3 linked regions of the Caenorhabditis elegans genome follow. The protein of the gene in region 1 purifies or fractionates together with the protein of each later gene. This does not show direct contact. Each region holds a gene or a part of one and is shown on either strand. Other genes may lie near its edges.

What was found.
Region 2: the proteins of ZK632.11 (region 1) and spe-9 fractionate together in Caenorhabditis elegans (co-fractionation; one large-scale study listed by BioGRID). This does not show direct contact.
Region 3: the proteins of ZK632.11 (region 1) and Y51A2D.8 fractionate together in Caenorhabditis elegans (co-fractionation; one large-scale study listed by BioGRID). This does not show direct contact.

Annotation. Positions count from the first base shown.
Region 1 is NC_003281.10:9,824,805-9,830,554, reverse strand, and holds ZK632.11 (uncharacterized protein), read right to left. Parts: upstream 2,641-5,750; 5' UTR 2,638-2,640; coding exon 2,555-2,637; intron 2,508-2,554; coding exon 2,441-2,507; intron 2,395-2,440; coding exon 2,315-2,394; intron 2,262-2,314; coding exon 2,165-2,261; intron 2,115-2,164; coding exon 1,831-2,114; intron 1,783-1,830; coding exon 1,638-1,782; intron 1,594-1,637; coding exon 1,384-1,593; intron 1,339-1,383; coding exon 943-1,338; 3' UTR 836-942; downstream 1-835. Other genes in the region: UPF0057 membrane protein ZK632.10, read left to right, coding at 3,404-3,445, 3,491-3,643, 3,860-3,907; ZK632.9 (uncharacterized protein), read left to right, coding at 5,138-5,191, 5,241-5,374, 5,430-5,430.
Region 2 is NC_003279.8:11,583,260-11,589,009, reverse strand, and holds the start of spe-9 (Sperm transmembrane protein 9), read left to right. Parts: upstream 1-2,940; 5' UTR 2,941-2,962; coding exon 2,963-3,008; intron 3,009-3,069; coding exon 3,070-3,170; intron 3,171-3,232; coding exon 3,233-3,309; intron 3,310-3,356; coding exon 3,357-3,464; intron 3,465-3,553; exon of another isoform or gene 3,554-3,652; intron 3,653-3,684; coding exon 3,685-3,973; intron 3,974-4,023; coding exon 4,024-4,098; intron 4,099-4,150; exon of another isoform or gene 4,151-4,223; intron 4,224-4,327; coding exon 4,328-4,394; intron 4,395-4,451; coding exon 4,452-4,557; intron 4,558-4,600; coding exon 4,601-4,740; intron 4,741-4,809; exon of another isoform or gene 4,810-4,899; intron 4,900-4,984; coding exon 4,985-5,183; intron 5,184-5,231; coding exon 5,232-5,316; intron 5,317-5,359; coding exon 5,360-5,520; intron 5,521-5,574; coding exon 5,575-5,750. Other genes in the region: C17D12.5 (UBC core domain-containing protein), read right to left, coding at 1,716-1,852, 2,079-2,232, 2,282-2,371, 2,721-2,759. UniProt on the Caenorhabditis elegans protein: Required for fertilization. May be required for cell adhesion and/or function as a signaling molecule.
Region 3 is NC_003283.11:18,551,084-18,556,833, forward strand, and holds the start of Y51A2D.8 (Cysteine proteinase), read right to left. Parts: upstream 2,768-5,750; 5' UTR 2,764-2,767; coding exon 2,618-2,763; intron 2,217-2,617; coding exon 2,136-2,216; intron 1,778-2,135; coding exon 1,414-1,777; intron 370-1,413; coding exon 175-369; intron 48-174; coding exon 1-47. Other genes in the region: ttr-24 (TransThyretin-Related family domain), read right to left, coding at 4,378-4,515, 4,596-4,723, 5,311-5,470; ttr-25 (TransThyretin-Related family domain), read left to right, coding at 5,705-5,750.

The sequences.
Region 1 (5,750 bases):
TGGAAAAAAGGTTTCAATTAATTTTATTACTTTTTTGAATAAGATTTCGGATCTTAAATATAGTTATGCATGGTATGGGAGCAGATTTTGTAGGTTTTCCTTCTAATTAACAATAACAATCTCAATATATTTACCGAAAATAACTGTAACAAAATTACAAAATTTGAACATTGTTTTAAATGATTTTTTTCAATTTTGGAAAAAAAATGATTAAAAAGGCTAAACTTTTTCTGAATTCCCGCGCAAGTGATCTACACAATTTCGATATTTTTTGCTTTTTCCGGCTATATTAATTGGGGTTTCTTTTTATTTTATTTTGTTAATCTAAAGAACTTCTCTGAAACTCTAAATCTGGCCTCAAATCAATAATGTAAACTTGTTTTGCGGGAAAAAATGTATGAAAGTTTTACAAAATTATGTTTCGAATCAATAATTTAATAAAAACCTTAATAATATAACCTGAAAACGTCGAAACTTTAGGAATTCGTTTGCGCGGGAATTCAAAAAATAATTCAGCTCGTTTTTAAATAATTTTTAAAAAAATTTGCAATCATAAAAAATTCCATCACTTTCTAAAAAATAAATTCGGCAAAAAATCCCTCAAAACCTATACCATCTTTTTAATATTCACAGGTTTCTCGAAATAATCTGATTAAACATAAGCCAATTAGACCAATTTAGTTTAAATTGAGAAAACCGATATTTGCTGTGTGTCACCAATCCATCGGAAAGCGGCAAGAGTGAAAGAAACGCAGAGATAAAGATATAATTGATGACCAAAATAGAAGATTGTGGACATTCGGAACCATTTACAACAAGAGAGAGGTTGGAAAATCAAGAAAAAAGGTTTTATCATGGTAGTTTTGCGTAAAAATATGGAACAACAACAACAATTTTAAGCAACAACAATAATTCAACAAAAGGATTTTTCAAAAAGCCAATTCATTTAGCATGTCTTCTATTTCTTTTCCTGTTCTGATTATTTTTGTTCTTAGCAGTTCCAGAGTTATTCGACGACGAAATTTCATTCGTTGAAACCAAAATAACTTCTTCTTCAGGCTCCGGAACGAAGTTATTTTCGCGGATTTCTTTCAATTTGTCCATGAGATTTCTGAAGTTTCCCTTGCATCCAGTAAGTTCTTCTCTTGCTTCAAATGGTTGAATTCCGACGGCAAACGCTTCAAGTGGAGCAACAGGAGTAAGAAGAGAGCTACCAAACACTGGAGTTCCGATTAATTCAAACATCGATTCTCCTAGTTTTACATCTTTTCGAATCGGAGTCAAAAGGTGTTTTTCTTCTGTTGAAGCAGAGCCGTCGAGTATTATAATGGAATCTTCCTGGAAAAGTAACTGATATTGAATTTTTATTTTAATTTAATTTACTTCTCCCGGAGTATTGAACTTGTCAATTTTGATTTCATCACTTGTGATTACTATAACATCATCATCATCTTCATTAGCGAACTTTTTATGTTTCGGAGTTGATTTGGCTCTTCGTTTCTCCGCTTTTTCACTTTTCTTGAATATTTTCAGCAATTCATCTTGATAAACTGAGCAAAATACATCTCTTGGTGGAATCTTGAAGTCTTCACGCTATAAAAATGTAATTTCTAAAGTGACAACATATTTGTTCTTACATCATTTAGAGAAGATTGTTCTCCATTGAATCCTGGATACCATACAATTTTCGATGTATCTAATTCAGGAGGCTTCACTGACATTTCATCATCTTCTTTGGATGTCGAGTCGAAGAATTTCAATTGATCGGTGGATTTGATTGATCTGAAATTAATAACAATATTAAATTGCATAAATTTACCATTTTCATACTTTCTCAACCAGCCTGGCGGATATCCATCGATTAACCCAAGTCTTCTCATTCGATAAATGTGCTCCGGAATATCATTCCCACGCAATCCAAGAGCGGCTCTTAATCTATCGCTGATCACACCAGGTTTGAAATGTTTCTCTCTTTGTTTTGATATTCCAACGTCATTATAGAAAACTCTTTGCCTTCCATCACCAGATTCCCTCTTTTTCCTTGAAATTCGTCTGAAATCTTTCCGCTGAGTACAATCTCTCAGGTTGTGTTCGCCATCACAATTGAAACAAGACTGAAACAAATTCCTAGTTTAAGAAGCTTTGTGAATGAATAAAAGCTTACTATTTTCTTTCTAATGTTATTCTCCTTCTTCACAGTTACTGGGGTCGAAACGCTTCCGAGAAGAGTGCATTCAAGGCGTTTACGCCACTCGCTCGACCTGCAATGAATTTTTATTGGAAAAGTCATTGAATTAACTATATATTTTTTTACCCTATATCTTCTCCACTTTTTTCTACATCTTCTGCATTCAATTTTCTTTGTGGAGTGATGGTGCGATCAATGACGAACTTCTGAAAAACAAAAAAAATCAACTGAAGTGAATATTGTGAAGGTTACCTCAAACTCTGTTTCCGTTCCTTTCATTGTTTCGCTTTTTTCTATAAGCCCAGAAGAAGTTCTTTTTCTAAAAAGGAAAATATCAAAAAATTCGATTATTTTCCAAAAAGAAACCTTTTTCCATTGAAAGAAGTACTCGGCTGCTTCCGCTTCAACGAAACTGGTTGAATTTCTTCAATAATCTCAATATCGGACATTATCTGAAAATATTTTATGAGAAATTATGAAACTAAATATTTTAATAATAATTTTAGTGACAAAAATAAAAGTTAATTGCGAAATTTCCAATCAACGCATGTTTTTTGTTTGTGGGTACGGTACACATGTACGCAAACACCGAATCTGTATGCAGGTTCTGTGAACATTCACCGTAACTTGTTTACATGTTTGTTTTTCAAACTTTATTCTTTTTTATCAAAAGAAAATCAGGTTTTCGCATTATTTTCTCTTGAAAATTGCTACATTGATTGAAGATTAAAAATAATATTTCTAAAATTAAATTGTTTTCACAACATATTTAGCTTTACAATTTACTGTCTGAAATAAACAATTACAACCCATACTAAAAACAATTTTCACAGTATTTCTACTTCTTCTTCTGCATTTTCTTCAAATGAATGATTCTGACACGTCAACTTTTATATTAAAAAATTCCTTAGGCACCAAGCACCACATTTCATGCTTCTCTGTATTAGAGCACGAGAGTTCTGAAGAGAGAGCAGACACACAGCGATAGCCAACGAGCGAGGTGTTGTCTTGTGATTCTAACCACAATCGCGTTCGTCGATTGCGCAATTTTTTGATTCATCGTCAATCGATAAACCTTCCGTGTTGCTGGAAGTGATGACTTTATAGTTTAATTTAATCACCGAAATCTCACACTTTTTTAATCTATCTTCAATACTTGCAATTCTCCCAATAATCTCTGTTTTTCAGCTCAAGTCTCGTCGAAACGAAAACGAAATGTGCCAGATTCTTCTCGCCATCCTTGCAATTTTCCTTCCGGTGAGTTCTTCAGTCTGAAACCATTCTTCAACCACTATTTTCCAGCCAATCGCTGTGCTTCTGGATGTTGGATGCAACTGTGACCTCCTCATCAACATTCTTCTCACCTGTCTCGGGATCATCCCAGGAATCATTCACGCGTGGTACATCATCCTTTGCAAGGAGAAGACTGTCGTTCAGAACATATACGTGCAGACTGTAAGTGGATAGTTGGAAAAAAGATTAGCCAAAAGGAAAAAGATAGTGATTTGTCAAATTTCAGAACAACAGATACCCTTGAATCTTGATAAAATGGTGACTTTTTTTTTGAAATTTATTACAAGGGGGTCGGTTTCTTGTCCATGATTCATCCTACTGTTTCCTTTGTTGTCTTTCTACAAAGCTTAATAAATGTTTAAATTAAAATTATTTCAGAATGACCACGGAACCGCTCCACCAGCTTATTCTCCTTATTCGGCTTAAATGCTCACGACAAGACACGTTCCTACTTTGCGCTCCACGACATAAATGTATTTCTTTATCCTTTGTAAACCTTTAATTCACCCCTTGCAATTTTGACTTATTGTCACAGGTCCATGATCAAAAACTGTATCACTTGCCGAATTTTCTCATTCTAAGGCCTTAATGAGATTGTGTTCATTCCCTCCATTGAAAAAATAAATCATTCCTCTTTTCGATATACATTGTTTTATTTATCACCATTTTATGATCTATCGGTGCTTTGTTCCGATCGATTTATTTTTTTTGTCTTGTTTGTTCGTTTCTTTTTTTTCTTTCTTGCTTCTTTTTTCTTTTTGTTCTGTGCCTTCGATGACACCGCACCAATATATCTAGCAGAAACAAGTCAGCCCTCAAAATGTGCTGCTCTGCGTCTCTTTTCATTTTTACTTTTTTCGATGGTCTCCGCTCGTCTATCCATCACGTGTCTCTGGCGCCAACGCAAATGTATAAATACGAGTATTTGAATGAAACTGTCCGTCTGCTGTTGATTCGCTAAAAATATTCAGGCAGATTTCTATTCTTGAAAAAAAGCCTGAAAACGTTACTTTATTTCTCACTTTTGTAGAGCTTTTCTACAAAAACGCACTCTCATTTAGAGTTGTTTTTCATTCTCCATTGATTTTTCTCATTTTCGACCTTTTTAACATTTATTATGGCTGATAAACGCAATATAAGTCAGAATATTAAAAAAAAAAAACGAGAAAAATCAATAAAGAAATCTCTACGCCACACAAATTCCACACAAATGCGCCCTCCTTTAAACTCGTTGAAAATTTTTAACGAATTTTTCTGGTATTTCTCAATTGAAGCTTTGTTTAAATACTTTTCAGCCTTATTCCTAATCGAAAATTTCAAATTATCGATTTTAAACATTTACACTTGTAAATAGATTTGATCTTCGTCAACACTACGCGCGCCAAAATTTAGATTTGTCACTATCGTCCTTCAAATAAACACACTCCAATCGTTTCAAATGCTATTCAATCGGTTCTTTCACAGTTTTGTTTTCTTGGCACTCTCCTCCCTTTTCTGCCTACTTCTTTCTAATCATGCAACTGCCAATCATCGTCCATTTCACTTTGATAACACTTGTTTTGGTCATTCTTGTGTCGGTTCATTCTCTCATTTTTGTGTTGCTTACACGTCTCTAAGCTTTATAATAATTTTTTGTTGCAGAAAATTACCAACGAGATGTCGTCGACTGCTGAAGAAATGGCTGCCGCATTCGAGCAAACCGGAGGACCGGTCAGTGCAATGCATATATTGTATTTAAACTGAATAATTTCAATTTTAGGATCTCACCACTGGAAGCGGAAAGCGCACCAAGTCTGACAGAGTGGAGCACAAGCACGCATCTCAGCCAGGAGGGGACACTCGCAAGGTTGTTCAAACCGCCAGCAACGGAGAGGCAAAGAGAAAAGAGAAGTGGTGCGTTAATATGCTACCGTGTTTGCGGACCATGTTCCTATTTTTGATTTTTCAGAATCATTCTTCATGTGACTGCCCGACACTATTTCTCTATTCCACCACCGACTGCCCACTGATTCATGTTTTTTACCTTGTTTCTCGTTTCTTCATTATTTTTAACCGTATTGTGTAAATTTAAAATTTGTAAAGTACCCACCGGCTAGGCTGTCTAGCAATCGATTTTTTTTTGTATTTTATTGTAAATTCCCGAGTAATTTTCTTCACATCCCGTTTTTGTTCACATCAAATAAATATTTGTTTTGTGAGAATTATTTTTTAGAAGAAGAAATCAATACAATTACTTCATTGCGGCCTAACGTTTAATTCGTCACAAGCT
Region 2 (5,750 bases), on another chromosome or scaffold:
GTAAGTAGAGTCGATGCACCATGACCTGGGCTCTGCAATTTATTGGAAAAAGCTTGGGAAAAACTTTTAAAAATTCTGAAAAAATGATGACATGGTGCATCGAGCATGTTTCTTTCGTCACTAATAAACCTGACAGGTGGTGGTGAAGTACCGAATCGGAACATGGTGCATAAGAAAAGCGGATTAGGGAAAAAGAGGTCTTTGATGAGAAACGCGTTCCTAAAGAACAGGTGGTAAAAAATTTTCATTTTGATTAGAAACAAATTTTGCAAGAAAAATCAAGGGGCAGGTGGCACCGGAATTTTCAGACGAAAATTTGAATTTTTAGGGAAAAATTTGGAGTCCGGGGAGTCACAGTGAAAGTAGAGAATTTTCTGAAAATTTGAGTACATAATTCAGTACTTCTACAGTACCCCTGCAGTGCCCCTAAAGTAACCATAACAGTATCCTAAGGTTTCTCTACAGTACCACTACAGTACCTCTACATAACCGCTACAGTACCCCCTTACAGTACGACTACACTAAACTACAGTACCCCACACAATATCATTACAGTATCCCTACAGCAACGCTACGTCAACCCTACAGTACGCTTACAGTATCTATACAGTACCCATACAGTGTCACTACAATACACCTAAATTGCTGACCCCCCCCCCCCCCCCCCCTACTTGACAGACGATACAGTACCAGTACCCCTACCAAAATATTTCGTTTTTTTTTTCAAACAATTAAGCTTGGCAATCCTGACCTACTCTAAATAATTAGACCATAGGCCGTGCATTTAGGTGTATGAGGGATTAAATAATGGACCCCCCCCCCCCCCACTCTCAGAGACAGATGGTACTGTATCGTCTGTCAAGTAGGGGGGGGGGGGGTCAGCAATTTGACCCACTCGGATGAACTGTGATTAAGTAATGGATTTCACGAATGGGCAATGTGTTTTTCTGAGGAAAATGAAAAAAATTCAGAAGAAAAACATGCTAATTCAATAATCTTCCCACGGCTGTCAATTATGGGGACTGTTTTTTCAATATTTTGGAAAAATGAGACTTCGGCAAGTGAAGGGTTCCTATGTATATTGGGATTAGTGTACTGTCGGGGGTACTGTAGGGTTACTCGAGGGGGTACTGTAGTGGTGCTAGGGGGATACTGTAGGGGCTTCTGTGAGGTTACAATTGTGGTACTGTAGGGTTACTGTAGGGTTGCGGTAGGGGTTCTGTAGTGATACTGTAGAATTGCTGTCGGCTTACTATAGTGTTGCTGTAGTGTTGCTGTAGGGTTACGGTACAGATACTGTAGGGGTACTGTAGTAATAATTTAGGATAACTCGAGGGGTTCCTTAGTGGTACTGTAGTGATAATTTAGTAGTACTGTAGGCCTATTGTAGCGTTACTGTAAGGGTATCATAGTGGTACTTACTCGATGGAGTACTGTAGCATTACTGTAGGGTTACGGTAGCGTTTCTGTAGGGGAGCTGTAGTGGTACTGTATGGTTACTGTAAGAGTACTTTAGGGTTACTGTAGGGATGATGTTGGGGTACTGTAGGACTACTGTAGGAGTAGTGGGACTGAGACGATAAATTCTTAATTTTCTTCAAGTGGTTTGGTCAGTCACCCATACATCCCGAGAAGTCTATTCCATTTCCACCTGTTTCAATGTAAAAAACTCAATTTAAACATTCAAAACTTTATTTTTTCTACTCAAAAATCAATCAATCAGCTTTCTGTGGCGACTTTGCAGGCGAAGCACTAGTTGGCGTACGTGCTTGTGGTGGACGGATGCGTGGAAGAACCGGTGCACGGGGGACCAGGTCTCGACGCGAAATCACACTGCAGGCTTCGATAAGGACTGAAAAATGAATATTGTAGGTTTAAGGTAGGCACATGGTAAATAAAATTTCGAATCACTAAAAAATTGTATCAGTAACCAGACAACAAACAAGAGATTATCAACGGATTTAGTACTGAAGCCTCTGAAAAAGAAAATAGAAAAATCCGGTTGTTTTGCTACCAAAAAAATACGTTCAGGATAATTTTTTCGCTGAAAAAAGGGGAGAATTATCGATTTTCTCTACCTGCAACAATTCCGGTAGACGGTTTCCATTGATTTTCCTCCAAAAACAGGAATTTCATATTTTTATCAGTTTTGCAAGTGATCGCCGGCGGCGAGAACGGGAATTTCGGCGGAATTGCGACGGTTACGATGTACTCGGTGTAGGGCGGTCCGTACTGAAATTTGATTATTGATTTTTTTTTTGCGTGGCGCCGCCGCTCTCACCGTCTTTAGAGTCACGTCAAAGCAAGTTTTCGACGGCGGCGGCTCGAATCTCACCGCGTAGAACATTCCAGAACCCTCGACAGCCGACGCCTGGAAAAGAATTAATATTTAGAAAATACATCGATTTTTGTTCTGAAAGTAGGGCTCCCATGAGGTCGCCGCATGAATAGTGTGGCGCGGAACCGCAAACATGTCGGCCGCTACCAAATAGCCGCTCCACACACACAGCGGCGCGCGGTGTCGGCGTAAGGCCGGCCGGATAGGGCCAGAGAGGGGCCGGCGTGAAGCCCGAATTTTGCGCCTCACTCAGTTGGGAGCCCTGGGAGCCCCATTTGAAACATTTTTAACTTTCCCAGAAATTCTCGACAATTTTCTGAAAACCTGTCGGTTTTTTTATTGATTTTTCCCCAAAAATCAATAAACTAGAACGCTAACTCACCACGACGCTATCGATCCGTTTTTCGCAAACTTTTTGCATTATTACTTTGAAATTTTCGTGAAATAAATGTTATTCTGGTGTTGGTTGTGTTGTTTTTTGCCGTCGACAGTGAGTTTTCACGTTTTATCGATTTTTTCGAGCATTATCGATTTATCCCGAAAAATCAATAAACTGGAACGTCACGATGCTATCGATTCGTTTTACGCAATCTTTTTGCATTATTGCTCTGAAATTTTCGTAAAATGAATGTGATTCTGGTGTTGGTTGTGTTGTTTTTCGCCGGCGACTGTGAGTTTTTCATGTTTTATCGATTTTTTTCGGAAAAATTATCGATTTTTTTAATTTTCAGGTGCAAAAATCAGAAAAATTATTGATTTTTTGGAGAAAGATGCTCCGAATGATATTGAAAAAACACCCAACTATAATGAAGAAAGTCTGGCGGTGAAAAGGGTAAATTATCGATTTTTGCGATGGGGCGCGTTTGCATTTTTATGGAATTTAAATATTTTTAGAACAAAAACTTCAATCCTTGTCTGGAAAATCCGAAAATTTGCTCAAATCGGGGAAAATGCTTGCATGAAAATGGAAAGTGAGAGTTTTTGCCAACTTTTCAGATTAAAAAGGCAATATTTTCAGCTTCTATTGCATTTGCCCGGTCACACATTACGGAAAAACGTGTGAACACGTGTCAGATCAAACGAATTGCGAGAAACACTTGTGTCAGAATAATTCTACGTGTGTCAGGTTGGAAAACATTCGTTTTTTTCTGTGAATTTTTATGGCAACTGTTTCGGTGTACACAAGTTGTGTCTATGCCCTCCAGCCGTTAGTCGCCGGCGGAGAGATGGCCGAGCGGTCCAAGGCGCTGGTTTAAGGCACCAGTCCCTTCGGGGGCGTGGGTTCGAATCCCACTCTCTTCAGTTCTTTTTTTCCCTTTTTTAAATTATCATTACCTCTGTTTCAGCATCAAAAGCCTGCGGACTATTGTCAATACAGTTCTTTTGAGACAAATTCGTGTCCAAAGAAAAGTAAACGGATCCAAAGCAGCTTTAACAAATGAAGAATTGGCTGAAATCGATTTAGAAGTGAATTACGAGTGTATATGCCAAAAGGGGTACTTTGGCGGGTTATGCGATGAGTCTGAAGCAGATCGAACTTGCCAAGAAGTGTATTGTTTGGGCAGAGGCAAGGGAGCAATTAATGCGACTGGAAAATGCGAGTGTGAATGTGAAAATCAATTCTTTGGAGATAGAGTGAGCGTTTACAACTTCAGAATTTCTTCTGAAATATGTTTAAATTCCAGTGTGAACAAATATCAGCTTGCTTCGACACTCAATGTGATAATGGTGGAATATGTGAAGATGTGGTAGATTGGAAGGTATTTTTTTCAAGATTCGAGAAAATATTTTATCTAAACATAGAAAAACGTAAGCCCAATGCGGGGCTCGAACCCGCGACAACCAGATTAAGAGTCTGGTGCTCTACCGACTGAGCTAACCGGGCGGCGTTAACTCTTACAACAGAGGGTCTAGAGAAATGTTGGGTAACAACGAGACTTGATAGACAGAACAAAAAGTGACCTTCAAATTACACACCTTCTATTTCAGACCAAAACCGTCACTGCCACCTGTAAATGTCCTTCTGCGATTGAACTTATTGGTGGTACTGTAACAGGTGGGTAAAAAAAAAAAAAAAATATTTCAAATTCTGTGAATTTCAGAAAAATTTCAGGTGAAAACTGCGAAACCCTTCAAATTCCTTCAACAGCCCCCAAAGAATTTATTCCATGTGCCGAGGGAAGTAATTCGACGATGTTTTTTAAGAAATTCATCGCAAAGTAGGAAAAGTTTATAGAATGGTTGTAAAACTCACATTTTCAGTATTTCCTTGGAATATATGGATGACATTTCGGAGTTGGAAGCAATTAAAAATGACTACAATGATGGGAAGAATGTCAATGGGACGATGACTGATGGATGGTGTAGAAATGATGGGAAGTGTGTACCTGAAGTTGTTCGAGGTAGGAAAATTCAATTACCACAATTCTCCCGGTAACTCAACTTTTTTCTAACACCTTTTTGTCAGTACGTTCGCCGCCCGGTTAGCTCAGTCGGTAGAGCACCAGACTCTTAATCTGGTTGTCGCGGGTTCGAGCCCCGCATTGGGCTTACGTTTTTGTAAAAATTTTTAACACCGCGCTAAAACGTATGCACAAAATTCTGGCCTATGCCTGCCTTGTTCCATTCTCATACCTAATGTTTCAGTGAACAGCTCCCGAGCCTACTACATCTATCGCTGCGAATGTACCAATCCTCTCACCGACGGTTACTATTGTGAGTACAAACGCCATGACTCTTGCTCTTTGACTCGAGAGGAGGTGGCTCGCGGGGACCGGTGGGACGAAAAGTGCACGGATTCTCAACACGGAGCATGTGTGGATATTAGTGGAGTGGCTCATTGTGTGTTAGTGCACCTACCTGCCTGCCTTTTACCTAGTAGCCCTAATTTCAGATGCAAGCCGGACTACACCGGCGAGAAATGCGAAATCTTCGACCCGTGTGCTCGGCAACCTTGCAAGCACGGTGACTGTATCCCGGTAGGCACATCGAGGCCTCTGAAAATCAGCGAAAAAATTTCAGATACCGAACACTGCCGACGTGGCATTCGGCACAAGTCGCTATCAATGCTTATGCCCATTATCCGCAAAGTTGAACCCGGAAAGCCAAGCCTGCATGGAAATTAACGAGAAGAAGTGTGCTCCCGGAGCCTGTGGCAACGGACGGTGTGTTCCTTGTGAGAGGTAAGAGATTGCCTTTGTACCTACCTACCTACCTACCTACTTTAATATTTTCAGCGATGCCGATGACCTGATGCCTCTCTGTAACGACAATGACAATCGCCAGGGATTCCGATGCCTCTGCGAAGCCGGGTACCTTCCACCGTTTTGCAAAGTCCATACAAACCCCTGCTACCAAAACCTGTGCCAGAACAGTGCCACATGCCATATCGACCCAAAGCAGCGGAGTTATG
Region 3 (5,750 bases), on another chromosome or scaffold:
TGTTCTTCGGCTCGGCGTGGGTTGATTACGGCAAAGTTGAAGGCTCTCTGAACAAAATTTGGTAGAAAATTAAAAAATTTGATTCTAAAAAAAGTAAAAATTTTGAAAAAAAAATTTTTGAAAAAAAAATTTTTTTTTTTGGAATTTTTTCAAATTTTCAAATTTCCAACTCACAGCCGGCACAATTCTGTCAGTTTCTCTTAAACGACATCTTCTGCCCTGGTTAGCCCGATTTTGATCGTAAGGATAGTCTTCATCTCCAGAAAGCCCATATTTCTTGACGTACTGGACTCCGAGGGTCAAGCTTCCTCCCTTACATCCCGGTGTTCCTTCCGTACCGCAATCACAAACCTCTTGGTCAGATAGGGACTGAAAATATTCAAAAATTTACATAGAAATTCAAAAATTCAGTGAAATTCTGAAATTCTGCCAAGTTTAACTGAAAAATTTGAAACTACCGTAACTTTGCCAATTTTTAAGATTTTTTTTAGTTTCAAACTGAAAATTGCGCCTAATTATATGATCTGCTATATTTGTAGTAGTCAATCATGAAAAAATGTCAGTTTTGAGGTTGTAAATGCGCTCCAATGAGAATTCTTACAAATTCTGTTGATTTTGACTAGAAAATTTGAAACATCCGTAAATAGGTCAATTTTCAAGATTTTCTTATTTTTAAAAAAGAAACTAGTGAAATAACATGTGATCTACACTAAATACATTGAAAATTTGAAAAAAAAAATTAGTTTTGGGCTTGCCAATGCGTTTCAATAAGAATATTTCAAAATTTCTCATTTTTTGACCCAAATTTGTGAAAAATCGTATCTTGGCCAGTTTTCAAGATTTTCTTATTTTTCCAAAAGAAACTAGTAGAGAAACATGTGATCTACATTAACTATGCACAAAAAAATAAGAGAAAAGTTAGTTTAGGGGTTGTAAATGCGCTCCAATGAGAACTCCTCAAAACTCTGTGTATTTTGACTAGAAAATTTGAAACATCCGTAATTTGGCCAATTTTCAAGATTTTCCAAATTTAAAAAACGTGTACAATACCAATTTTTGCAAAGTTTAATATTAAAATAGTCAAAGTCTAATAAAATTTAGTGTAAAAGCAGTAAACGCACTCCGCTGAGAACCTACTGAAAATTCGTTCAACTTCGCTTTAAACACTTGAAACTAACGTAACTTTGCCATTTTTCAAAATGGAAAACATAGCAAAAAATGTGATCTACGATATATTTACAGAAAAATAGAATTAAATTTCAGGCTAGAGGGTGTAAATGCGCTCCAACGGCAATGTTTTCTGTTTTCAAAAAAAAATCGAAAAATTCGAGTTTTCACGCCAATTTTTCACCGATTTTCCTCGAACTTTCACAGTTTTCATTCAAATTTTTCAAATAATTGTTTTATTTTTACCTTAAACTTTCCAGAATGTGCTGCATACACAGTCTCCACCAGTGCGGTGACCGCGAATCCCCAGCAACACGCACATTGCCCCTGATCCTTGATCGGGCCCACAATGTATCGCCCGTTGATTTTCTCGTTTCTCAAGTCGAAATAGTCTGGATAGCGTGTTGATCTACGCTTATGGCGTGTTTTATTCATGTCGGCCGCGCGAAAATCCGGTTTTTTCTTGTCGAAGTTGAGCATTGGGAGCCCTGTATTGTTGCTGGGCACTACATTGGACAAACGGCCGTGGAATTCGGCGGTGGATAGGTCAGAAAACTTGTTAATGCCAAATTGGGTGTCATATCCGGCTGCTTTTGACTTTGCGTTTAATCTGAAAAAAATTGAAAAAAAACCGAAAAAAAAAAATTTTTTTGAAATTTTTTTTCGAAATTTTTTATTCAAAAATTTCATTTTTAAACTCAAATTTAAAACATTTTCATTATGAAATTCGAAATCTACGCCTCAAATTACCCCTGTCCCGAAATTTTCAACGCTTTAGTGCAATTTTGCGTCAAATCTGGTGTTTTTGGTTACTGTAGCCTAGTGTTTGTGGACCTTACACCCAATTTGACGGAATTTTGCGCTAAATTTTTGAAAAACGGGGTTAGTGGTTATTTGCTACGTAGAATCCGAATTTCGACTCGAAATTTGAAAATTCTGAAGTTTGGGCCATGTTTTTTTTCACTTACTTATCGACATTGTTGTAGGATTTTACGAAATTATTGAATCTCTGCTGATTCTCCGACTCGTCCTTGTATTTTCGGTTGTACCTGTGAAAAATTATGTTTTTTTTCTCAAAAGTGGCTTAAAACGGCAACAATAAGATTTCTGAAAAATTTTAATAGAAATGTTCAATTATTTCTGAAAATCGAAATTTCAACACTTCAAAACCATTTTTTTTTTGAAAAATTATGTAAAAATTCGAATTCTCCACCCAAAATTACCCCTGCACCCTATTTTTCAACAATTTCGTGCGAAATGTCGTCAAATCCGGTGTTTTGGGTTACTGTAGCCTGGTGTTTGCGTACCCGGCACCCGATTTGACGGGATTTTGCACTAAAATTCTGAAAACTCAGGCGTAGGGGTTATTTGCTATGGGGAATCCGAATTTTTAATTGATTTTTCAAAATTTTGAAGTTTGGGCCAAGTTTTCGTTATTAAAAAAACTCACTTTTTTTTAAAATCCTCAAAAGCCTTGTAGAGCTTCTCCGGATGGTCCCGATCGATATTAATTTCAAAAAATTCGGGTTCTGTAATATTGATGGAAACTACCCCTGAAATGGGTAGAACCACCAGGAAAATCACGAAAACTTGCATTTTCGCGGCGAAATTTTGATTGCCTCGGGCTACGGTTGGCTTTTAAGCTTCCGAGTTTTATGGCCGAAATCGTAAAATTTTCCACTTTTTCGGGGGAAAAAGTTGGAAAGATCGGGGTGATTCTGCACATTTCGACATCGAATTTGTTGGGGTTCTTTTATAGATTTTTGGTGTTGACAGGGGGTTGAAAAATTAATTTATGAGCAAGTTATTGAAAATTTTGATTTTTTTCAAGCCTTGTTACATGAAAATTTGGAATCTTCATAAAATTTCCGTTTATTTGACCCCCATATTGGCTATATTCGAGGAAATTTGAATTTCAGACCAGTTTTAGGCCGTTTCGGGCTTTTTGGAGCCCAAATATCAATACACTCAGTTTAATGCCAGTGCGTTTGTAGTAATTTGCCAACTTGTATAAGGAACTACTAAATTGGTTATGTTTGCGGAAAATTGAATTTCAGACCAGTTTTAGGACAGTTCAGGCCGTTCTAGGCTTGAAAACAAATATTGACGGGTATATGTCGATAATTTCAGCAAACGTTTTTGAAAAATTTGAAACTGTGAAATAAAAGTTATTTAAAGGAAAGTTTTGTATTTCAGGCCATTTTCAGGCTCCGGGCCGTTTTTTGCCCAAAATTTCAAAGTTTGTAGAACATAGCCAATATGGGTTTCAAAACTAGGCAAATTTCATGAAGAACACGAATTTTGAGTTCATATTTCTCAAAATTTTACCGGGTGTCCCCGAATGTCCCATAGGTGTCCCATAAGTGTCCCACTCGTGGTTTTCAGGCTATATTTGTCAGAAGTTGCTCTTTTTTTACAGAAACACTTGCATAGATGTAGTTAAGCGTTTATATTGCAAATTAAAACATGAAAAATGGTTTAATTTTGAACGGTTCAAATATTTTTCCAAAAAAAATTTTTTTTTTAATGTACATGGCAATATTTTTTATATCATTTTTATGGATTTGACATTTACATCGGCTATATTTCAAGAAACTGGGCTTGTCGAAATGATTTGGACCGATTCGGGCCGTTTCAGGCCGTTTCAGGCCTGAATTTCTAGATTTTCTGGAACTGCGTTTTCACTTTTAGGTTTTTCTTATTACTGCAAAATTTCTACACTTACCTTGACCTAAATTCGTGGTGCTCATATTTCAAGTCTAGAACGGCCTGAAATGGCCTGAAATTGGCCTGAAATTCAACATTTCATTGTTATGCAAGTTAAATCAAAAGGCTGAAAATTATCTTGAAGTTTTAGGTGAAGAAAATCTATTTTTCAATAAATTTTGAGTTTCGGGCCAGTTTCAGGCCGTTCTGGGCCGTTTTTTGGCCAAAACGTCCAAATGTTCAGAGTATAATCAATATGGGTGTTAAAATTTTGCAAATTTTATGAAGAACACGAATTTTACATTTTTATTGTTTAAAATGTCCCCTGGTGTCCCCGAATGTCCCATAGGTGTCCCATAAGTGTCCCTCTCATGGTTTTAGGCTATATTTGTCAGAATTTGCTCATTTTTTTTACAGAAACACTTTAAAAATTGTAATTAAACGTTTATTTTATGAAAAATGCCAATTAAAACATAAAAATTATCAAAAAATTACAAAAAAAGTTTAATGAATGCAATCAGTGCCCTCTCCTGGGTATCTGTTAGCCAAATTGAGGGTTCCGATGTCGAAAAGTTGAGCTTCTTTGGATCCTTTACCAACTGCATTTTTTGGAACATGAATAGTCACTTTTTTTGGGCAGAGCTGAAAATTTCAAAATTTTTGAATTTTTTTTAAATAGGAAAAAAATCGAATTTTTTCAATTTTTTTCTCCAAAAACCTACTCCAGAATAGTTGCATTTATGATAAATATTGATTTTCGGGTCAATCTTGCGGATTTTATTCTGGGATCCCGAGACCTTGAATGTTCCATCAGCAATTGTTTTCACCGAGTCCATTTTCGTGTCGTAGACTGCAGAAAATTGTATTTTTGTGAAATAAAATGTTCAAAGTTAACATTTTTGTTGTTAAAACTAGGAAATTCAGATTTTCCAGGTCAAGACAAGAATTTTGACACCCATATTGACTATGTTCGGACAAATTTGAATTTTGGGGTGTGTGACCGCGACGCGACCGCAACGCGGCGAAAATTGAAATTGCATTTTTCATGCTTCAACGCGGTAAGTTTTTGAGTTATGATTAATACAACGTCTTTGTTCAAAAATGTTTGCCATTGTGGAGCTTTACAATAATTTTTGCATTTGACACGCGACGCGACCGCACCGCACTCAAAAAACCAAAGTTATCCGAATATAGTCGTTATGGGGGTCAAATAAAAGCTAAGAACGTCAGAAATACAAAAATCGTAATTTTGATCCTTAAAAACGAACTGCTCTAATTTTACGGTAAATAGTGACTATTAGAAACCGCGACGCAACCGCGCCGTGCCCTAAAACCAAAAATTGTCCAAATACAGGCAATATGAGTGCCAAATTGAAGCTAACAGCGTGGTGAGACATTTTCAACTTGAAAAAATCGAATTTGAAACTTTCAACTTACTAGTTCCATCCTCGAAAAGCTTCACACGGACGTCTCTAGCCGGTGCTCCGTTACAGACCAGTTTGCCGACCACAGTGACCGTCTGTTTACTCCCAACAATACCTCCCAAGGCATCAGTGAGCAGAAAAACAGTGGAAATGAGCAGAATTTCTTTGAACATTGCTCAGGAGTCGACCGGGAATCGATAAGAAATCCAGGAAAATGATAAGAAATCAGGGAAATCAGACGAGATGAGAAACGGATAAAAGTCGGCGATTAGGTGATTATCTAACGGAACAGTTGTTGTTTAGTGTAAACATGCCGCTGGGGACCAGAAAAACATGTTTGTCACCCGAAAATCCCATAAAAACCGGGAGCAAAACTCACGGAAACTTCCTGAGAATCTGCTCAAACGATGCTCAAACTTTGTCTGCTCTTCCTTGCGACTTTAGCCGTGGCTC